2 linked regions of the Drosophila melanogaster genome follow. The protein of the gene in region 1 interacts with the protein of each later gene in a pairwise test. Each region holds a gene or a part of one and is shown on either strand. Other genes may lie near its edges. The genes, in order: CG4270 and CG30158.

Region 1 (3,154 bases):
GCAACCGAGTGCATCCGGCTCCGGATGCCGTGTGGTTGATGGAAATGCGAGCCTGTTTGCCCAGATACCAGATACGATATATCAGATACCATCTATGTATATAATGCCCGCATGCTCGAAATAAGAGTGCGAGTGTATTTATTTTGCGTATGGCGCGCACTGTACCCTCCACTCGACCAGCAATGCATAAATAAACGAAACCAAATTTGCGAAATTAATTAAATCGACAGAAAAGTAACGTGTGCGCTTTGCGTTTTACGCTTTGACTGTGGCCAGCTTACAACCCAAACAATTTGGCCACCCAGCCACTGAACCACCCAATCCCCCAGCCACCCAACCACCCAACCACACATTTTCCAACTCCGATGGCACCGAAATTGTGAATTGTGCATTGTGCGGATGACGCGACTGTGCATCGCGTTTCTGACAGAGGCCATGGAAACCTGAAATGCAGCGAGCAGGCTTAAAGTTTATTACAATATTACCAGAAATTCTACCAGCGGCTTAAATGGAGCCATTTATCCATTTCGAAAATATCTTTGTCTATAGAGCAAATGAAAATAAGAAATGGAAAAGGGAGCTCCCGATTAATTGAATTGAAATTCATCCTAATCTTTGATATTGATTGAATTATATATTACCAATTAACCAAATTGGCTTTAATCTGTATTAACATTAATACTTATTTAAATTCGCGGCTTAATAAACTATTTTATCCAGCTTTAAGCTTATGGCCGAGTACTTAAGTACTTAGTACACAAATTCACATAAATCAATGAGCTGGGCCATAATTTAGTGCCTGGCACATGAGTATATCAAACGCAATGCTGTGACCCCGCATCCACCTTGCGGCGCACAGGATAATTTCAGCGAGTCAGCCTGTCCTGCGGCTGTATCCGCCTATCTGTACATCGGAGCATCGGCTTAATCTCTGCCGGGAGCAGCGACATCGGCCGGTCCATTGATTTGCATTTGCACAACTCATTAGGGATTCACACTTGAAGCACCACCCGCAGCGCAGACACACACTCACACACTTAAATAATTTAATATTCCGAGTGTTTCGACATCGAAATTTGCACTTCCATGGGCGGCGCTGCGGGCGATTGATAAGGGGCCTCCATGTCGGCCAACTCGCATTATCCAGCTCGATTCAGTCGGCAATTAATGCCACTCCAATTGCCCGATTTGCCTGCACCTACATATCCAGCCATATGGCTGGATTGCGAAAGAATCGCCGGCTCATTAATAACCAAACCCAGTGACATGCATCACTCATACGTCACGTTGGTTAATCCCATCGGCAGATGCAGAAGAAGGATGTGTGATACAGTCTGTCTAATTCCCGTCAATGGATTTGGGCACGCACACGTCCTGTGAATCCGTCACCCACAGCCTGTGTTTGCGGTATCAATCACAATGCTAATACCGATGTTTAGGCCAGATTATGAGGCGGTTTGAAAAAAGGGTTTTTCGGCTGTAAACAAAACATTGTGATTGATGGGTGAGCTATTCAGAACTCAGTGAAAATTTTAATTGACTGCCTTGTATACATGTATAATAACCACTTAATTTTGTAACTTAAAAACGAGAAATGTTGATCTAGCCAGCTAGCTTAAAAAGTCATTAGGCATACGTAAATTTGGTTAACTAAATCACGGCGCCAGCCAATCCCCCAAAGAAATATGGCGAAGAGAAACGTAGCGCCCATTCCCAAAACCCACGAGCGCCCTCCAGGTCCCAGGGGTCAGGATACCAAGGGCAACAACGAGCTCTTCCTGAAGGAGGTCTTCAATACCACCAATAAATATCGGGCAATGCACGGCTGTCCCGCGGTGACCATTAATGCTGCACTAAATAAGCTGGCTCAGGAATGGGCCAATGTAGGATGAGGGATAAAGAGTATTCTATAGTATTTTATATTAATTTGCACCCATTTCCAGCATCTCCGCGATCAGAACACAATGGCGCACAGACCCAATCCCAAGTACGGCGAAAACATTTTCCTCTCCGGTGGAATGGATGTGACCGGTGATCTGCCGGTGGAAATGTGGTATCGGGAAATCAATAGCTACGATTTCAACAAGGCGCAGTTTGTGCCCACCGCTGGACACTTTACTCAGCTCATTTGGAAGTCGTCGGTGGAAATGGGTTCGGGTGTGGCCCGAAAGTGAGTCTTATGGCTATGGCTATGGTAATCCTATTCATACATGTCTTCCAATAGAGCGGATAGAACTTGGGTGGTTTGCAACTACAATCCTCCCGGCAATGTTGTGGGTTTGTTCAAGGATAATGTGCCGCCAAAGCAATAACTCTGGGATTTTTTGATCAAAATTTTAAGCATAATAAAAGCGTAATCTAGGTCCAGTATTTGTTTGTTTTATTTACCATTTTCTATTTTAAATTGTGATGTTTCGATTTTCTAGTTTCCTTGGCATCCAAGTCCGATTTAAGTAGAAGGAATTTTCTAGGCAGGACATTTTCCCTGAAATGTTCGCTTACATTTCCAGGCGGATGGTAATTGCACACAATCCAAATGGAGGAAACACTGCGTGTAAAATGTAGTTAGTTTCGGATTATTTTTAGTATGACTTAAAATTATGAACCCACTCGCATGCCACGCCCACTCCCAGGAACTCTGACTCTCTCCAAACCAACTGGGTAAAATGTCCAGTGTACAAATTAAAGCCTGGCTTTAAGTAATCGTAGTTGTATTTTTCTTGGTACCAGAGTTTCAGTATTTGATCCACGGAGAATTTGGATCTCCGGACACGCATAATATTCTCGCCGTAAAGAGGATTAGGTCGAGTTTCCAGTTTGTTCAGATCAGCCAAATGCTGTGGAAATCAAGTTTAGGTGAAAAAGAAAGGATCTATTTATATTAAATACATCTACATACATCTGCCCACTCCTGTGCATAGGAACAAAGTTTTTCATCCATTTTCAGGGGATTGGCGTTGTGAAGCCTTCGGTACTTATTGGTTTCCCTTAGTACAGCTTGTTTTATAGGCTTGCGTCGAATGATAGGAATTTTGTATATTTCAAATTCCTTTAACAGAGACTTCTTATCTTTTTTCAGTTTTTTCGACTGAATGGAACTTCTGGAAGATGTTTTGCACTTGGGAGCTGCGCATTGTAAACACCTTTTACCATG
Region 2 (4,881 bases), on another chromosome or scaffold:
ACGGAGTTCTAGTTTAACATGCTAACCATTATGTTTCAGAGACCCTAACTTTTGCGAACTATTGTGACTCTCGAAAGTTGTGCTGCACTGTGTGTGTTTAAAGCTTCCCTTTGAGGATGTGTGTGCCAACTACACCGTGTGGGGGGAGGGGGGGGGGGCAACTCCGCAGGTGGCAGGGTCGAAACGATTACTCCTTCTGCAACGTGGAACAGACAATTGTGGAGGCAAATTGTAATTGTAACTCACTTTTAAGTGCGTCTGACAAGTTTGGTAATTAAGGAATTATGTCATGCGCACGTTTGCCATTCAGAAGGACCCTTGCCGTAACTGGCTGTGGGAGGTGGAGCGTTTTTGATTGCATTGGCTACATTGGTTACCTGGGGTTTCCTGTGTCGCATTCTGTGTCCCGAATGTTGCATTTTTGCAATTGGCATTTAATTTCGAAAGCTGCTAAGTTGAGCATTGTGTTTATGCACGCTGCACTCCCATTGAAAGTTATCCCCATTGTTGGAACCCAGAGCAGGCTAGTCGAGACTCTAGGTGACCCTGCGCACCCAAGGTGTTCAAAACTTTTCACTTTCCCACGGACCACGTGAAAGGGGGACTGGCTACCGCAAAATGATAATAGAATCCCAGTTCGCTCCAATGGAGACTGGGCACAATTTACCGCTCGTCCTGGCATCGCACGCTCGCCCACAAAGAGCAGGTCAGAAAGGACTGTGCGGAAGGACGATTTGATGCTCTGAAGAGCGTCACACTGACAGCAGCTGCCAATGTGCGTATCTGTGCGAGTCAGGTTAATGAAATACTTGGAACATGCCTCCTGCCAGCCGGTCAAGCGGCCTGTCTCGTCCTGCGTGGCCAAAGGACATGTCGAGACGGATGTCCCTTTTTTTTCGAGCCTGCGAGTGTGTGGATCTCCGCTCAGGGCGATGGAAAGTGCAAAACTTTGTTAGCACTTTGAATTTAATACATGCTATTGAATATTAACGAGCTGTTTCGGCGTAGAATGAGGAGTAAGTAAACAAGGTTTGGCCGACAATTATCGAGTATACGCCCCGTGTGCCGCCTTGGCTGCCTGTTTGCCTTTTGGCAGCTTGTGGGCTCTGTGGGTAATTAACATTTGTACGTCAATATTTGCAGTGGCAGCCGCTGGCATCTAAATGAAAATCTCCACGTGACATGAGATACTCTTTGCATCTCATTAGATTTAATTACCATTTCAGGTATTTTGTATTATGTTTTGCGAGATATGTAAACATTTGTATAGATTCTGATGGGTACTTCTTATGTTTCTGTATCGAAAATCTGAACCAATGTTTAGTGAACGAAATGTTTTAGTTGGGACATAGATGCCAATCCCCCAATAACAAACTTAGGGTCGTCTGCCCAAAATTGAACTGTCACAGGAATTATTACCAACTGACCGCAGCTGACAATGCCGTAGGGGTAAGCCTTTCATCCTTTCGAGCAGGTTCGAGGGGCAGACCCATAATCCGACTGAAGCTTAAAGCACGGGTTCAGACCTCAGCTAGTGCTGAGCAAGGAACTTAGCTTTGTCCTGCCGACGCCTGCGTCCTGATTCGCTGTAGCGTTTGCTTGTTCGCAACCACAACCTGCAACACGTTGTGTTTTGAATGCTTTGGCGGCAAACACTCGTGGCCTGTTGGATGAATATAAAAGCAAAGTCCCATGCTGGCTGCCAAACAGTTCCCTGCTAGACAGCAACGCACGCGCTCCTCAGTGGAAACCCAGAGACTTTCGGCAGTGGATTACAAATTTTGGTTGAGGTGTCAGGAGCAACCGATGCTTCTGTCGTCCTAGTCCGTCGTCCGGTGGTGTTCAGAGTGTCTGTGGCTTTGTGTGCGGGTGAATAACCAGAACATAAATCAGAAATTTAATCAATCTCACGTGCCGAATTGCAGTTTACCACAGTTTCGTCGCTATTTCGGGGTGATTAAGTATACGCCAGGTAAGCCCACCTCGCAGCACTGCGTCGCAATCCCTATGACCTATTAAGGCTTGGTGGAGCAGTCCGGCGCGGAGTGGAGTGCGGTCACCCGGAATGCTTCCATCCGGGTCGTCCAAGTAACTCCTCCACTTTATGGCCACATTAAGGCATAAACAGGGGCAGAAAAACAAAGCACGTTCTGAGTGCAAGTGCAAAAGAAACGACTTTAAAGTGCCTGCCAACGGGACAAGTTGCGGTTATGGCGAAAAATTCAAATTTCTCGCATCCTGACCTGCCGAATTCCCACTCTTCATCCAGCCCTAGGTGCGTCTTTGATATCCAATTTTAACGGCAGCATTCGCTGGCATAATAAAAATTTATCGTAAGCGCATTAAATTTGTAGCCGCCGCAAGTTTCGCTCCGTTCCCTTCGCTTTCCTATTCGACATGTAGAGACAAAGAGTCTTCGCAGCAGTTAACATGTCTAAGTAAGCTCTAAGTTGCCACCAGATCTGCCTTTTGTGTGTCCCGGACGGAGGAGGCTGGGCGGATGGGAGCCGTGCCATGTTGTGCATTTTTATTACGATTACACAGCTCACACATGGCAGAAAGCACTGAAGCGGGATGGGTGACAATCATCCCCTAGGAGCCCCTAGAAAATCCACCGTGAGGGTCCGTCATAAATTCTAAATTTGACAAATAAATAAAAGGTGGATGGGGGACTCGATGGCCATGCTCAATCCATTTGTGCACTGGTTTTGTGGATCTATAATCGGATTTAACATGTATTTTTATCCCGTACGAAAATTGCTCTATGGGGACTCCATATTCCATACGATTTCGATACTTTCGTTATTGATAGACTAGGACTCCAATGTCGCTTTAAGCAACAAATGCAAGTTGTCTAAAATGTTGAAGCATTTTTAATTTGCTTCGATAAATTAAACATTCTGAGCCAAGGAGTGCTTAAAATCCGACACTTTTCTAAGTTTATTTTCTGTTTAGTTATATCGAAATTTGGGGCAAAAACAAACAGTTCCCATGAGACCAGGCATATCATTTGATTATTTATTCCCTGTTAAAATATAATACCATGGTTCCCAGACTGATGATGAATTGAATTTGATTTAAATGAGACTTTCTAGGTTTTTAGAAGAATTTAATTTAATTCTCTTCTTCTGTGCAGCCACGGCTTTATTGGGTTTCATTGGTTTTGATACTTTTTAAGTCGAGACCAATTGCACTAGATTTATCACTTCCTTCAGAGGTATCACCATTTCCAAAGAAACGCTTCGTCTTCCATTTCCATGTCAGTACTTCTAAGAACCCACGTCGCAAAAAGCAGCACTTTAATTTGGGCTCATATTGCCTACGCTTACAGCTTACTTTCATGAAATTCATTCGCTTAATTGTATTTTTCGATTGTTTTTCCAAGTATTTCTTTCTTGAGATGAAAAGTCAACAGACAGTCGGCAAAAAATGGGTTTGTGTTTTTCGTTTTTTCCAACAACATGAGGGTCCTCGGTAATCGGAAACCGCAACTGTTTGCTTAACTCCCTCCGAGATTGTATAATTAATTTCACATAAAGCCTAGTCGCGAGTTTGACTTTTTAAAGGCATTCTCAGGGGGAGCAGCTCCTAGGTGACGTGGCCCCACCCCTCACTCTCACCTGTCGCCTTCATCCCCCAATGTGTGTACACAGTCGCTTGTAAATGATTGTGCTCCATATGTTTATGCTAGATTAAACGGTTTTCCTGCCAAACTGCGAATGGGAATAAAACACACACGCGCGCGCACACACACACACACACACGGCAGCTATGCAGATGCCCCCGTAGGTATGCCAGCTTTTTTATTGTATCTTAAGCTGTGCCAGCTGCGCAGCTCCTCGGGGAGCGCCCGACTCGGACGCACACTTTATCATAATGGAGTCTAGACCGGATGCCTGAAGTGCGATGGCATTTACCATAGTTTGCATTTCTACGCTCCCTGTGCTGCTGGCCTTCGCATCTGCTCATCTTTTGGTCCAATCGAGTTGGTATTAAAGTCATGCCTTCTGAGTGAGGTTCATTAATCCCACCGCACTCACAGTCGCTTGTCAAGTCGCAAGGCAGCCCGAGAGGCCGCTTGTCTGTAAAGGCTATTAATTATATGTGACTTATTTAATTGATAAACTGGGCATTTCGCCCTTCATACCTTCGGCATAGTACAGTGCTCTGGATGTTGCAGCTGACACCTTCAAGAACGAGCCATTTGCTGTGGCTGAGTGTGTACTTCGCATCACTCATACGCACTGTGGTACGCAATGGCTTATCCCTGAGAATTCCGGCAGCTGGCATGAATTGCAATCCGTATGCAAAGCGCAAATTGAAAATGCACACGAAAGCTGAAGAGTAGGGGGGGGGTGATGAGAGGGGGATGTGGCACCCAAAGTGGCAACTAAATGCTGGCAAAATGGCAAAACTGCACGCCTTTAAAATTGTTTTTGTTCCTCCCGCCTTGTTGTATTAAAATTAAAAGCACATAAAAGGTTCAAAGCTTCCACTTGGCCTGACAACGGTCCTCTTCTCTCGCAACAGAACATAACAGGACGGAAAAGAACAGGTCCTGGCCCTATGTGCGAGTTCGTGTTTCCGCCCTAATGCCTCCATTTCCACTTATTTTAATAGTTTTTGCTCTTTCCGGGCGGCACTTGTGAGCCTCTTGGCCGCCAATGGCTTCATTGAAATTTGGGCACACACACGGCCGGCATATTTGTGGGTGAGCAGGCTCTTGATGTTGCGGCCGCATTTGATTAAAGTGCTGGACCATGCTTGTTGTCTTCCACTCTTTGGCCATGATTATCATCTCGATGGGGATGTGTGTTTGGGTTTGTGCTGATTTTATGGTCCGACGGATTTCTCTTTTTTGGCTTCCACCATCCACCGCCA

The links.
Region 2: the proteins of CG4270 (region 1) and CG30158 interact in a two-hybrid assay, tested with the Drosophila melanogaster proteins (one large-scale study listed by BioGRID).

What each region holds. Positions count from the first base shown.
Region 1 is NT_033779.5:2,261,873-2,265,026, forward strand, and holds CG4270 (uncharacterized protein), read left to right. Parts: upstream 1-1,569; 5' UTR 1,570-1,685; coding exon 1,686-1,883; intron 1,884-1,943; coding exon 1,944-2,170; coding exon of another isoform or gene 2,171-2,174; exon of another isoform or gene 2,175-2,213; intron 2,214-2,224; coding exon 2,225-2,312; 3' UTR 2,313-2,369; downstream 2,370-3,154. Other genes in the region: CG34049 (uncharacterized protein), read right to left, coding at 2,395-2,548, 2,611-2,837, 2,900-3,154.
Region 2 is NT_033778.4:6,890,055-6,894,935, forward strand, and holds the start of CG30158 (uncharacterized protein), read left to right. Parts: upstream 1-1,705; 5' UTR 1,706-1,869; intron 1,870-1,925; 5' UTR 1,926-1,972; intron 1,973-4,881.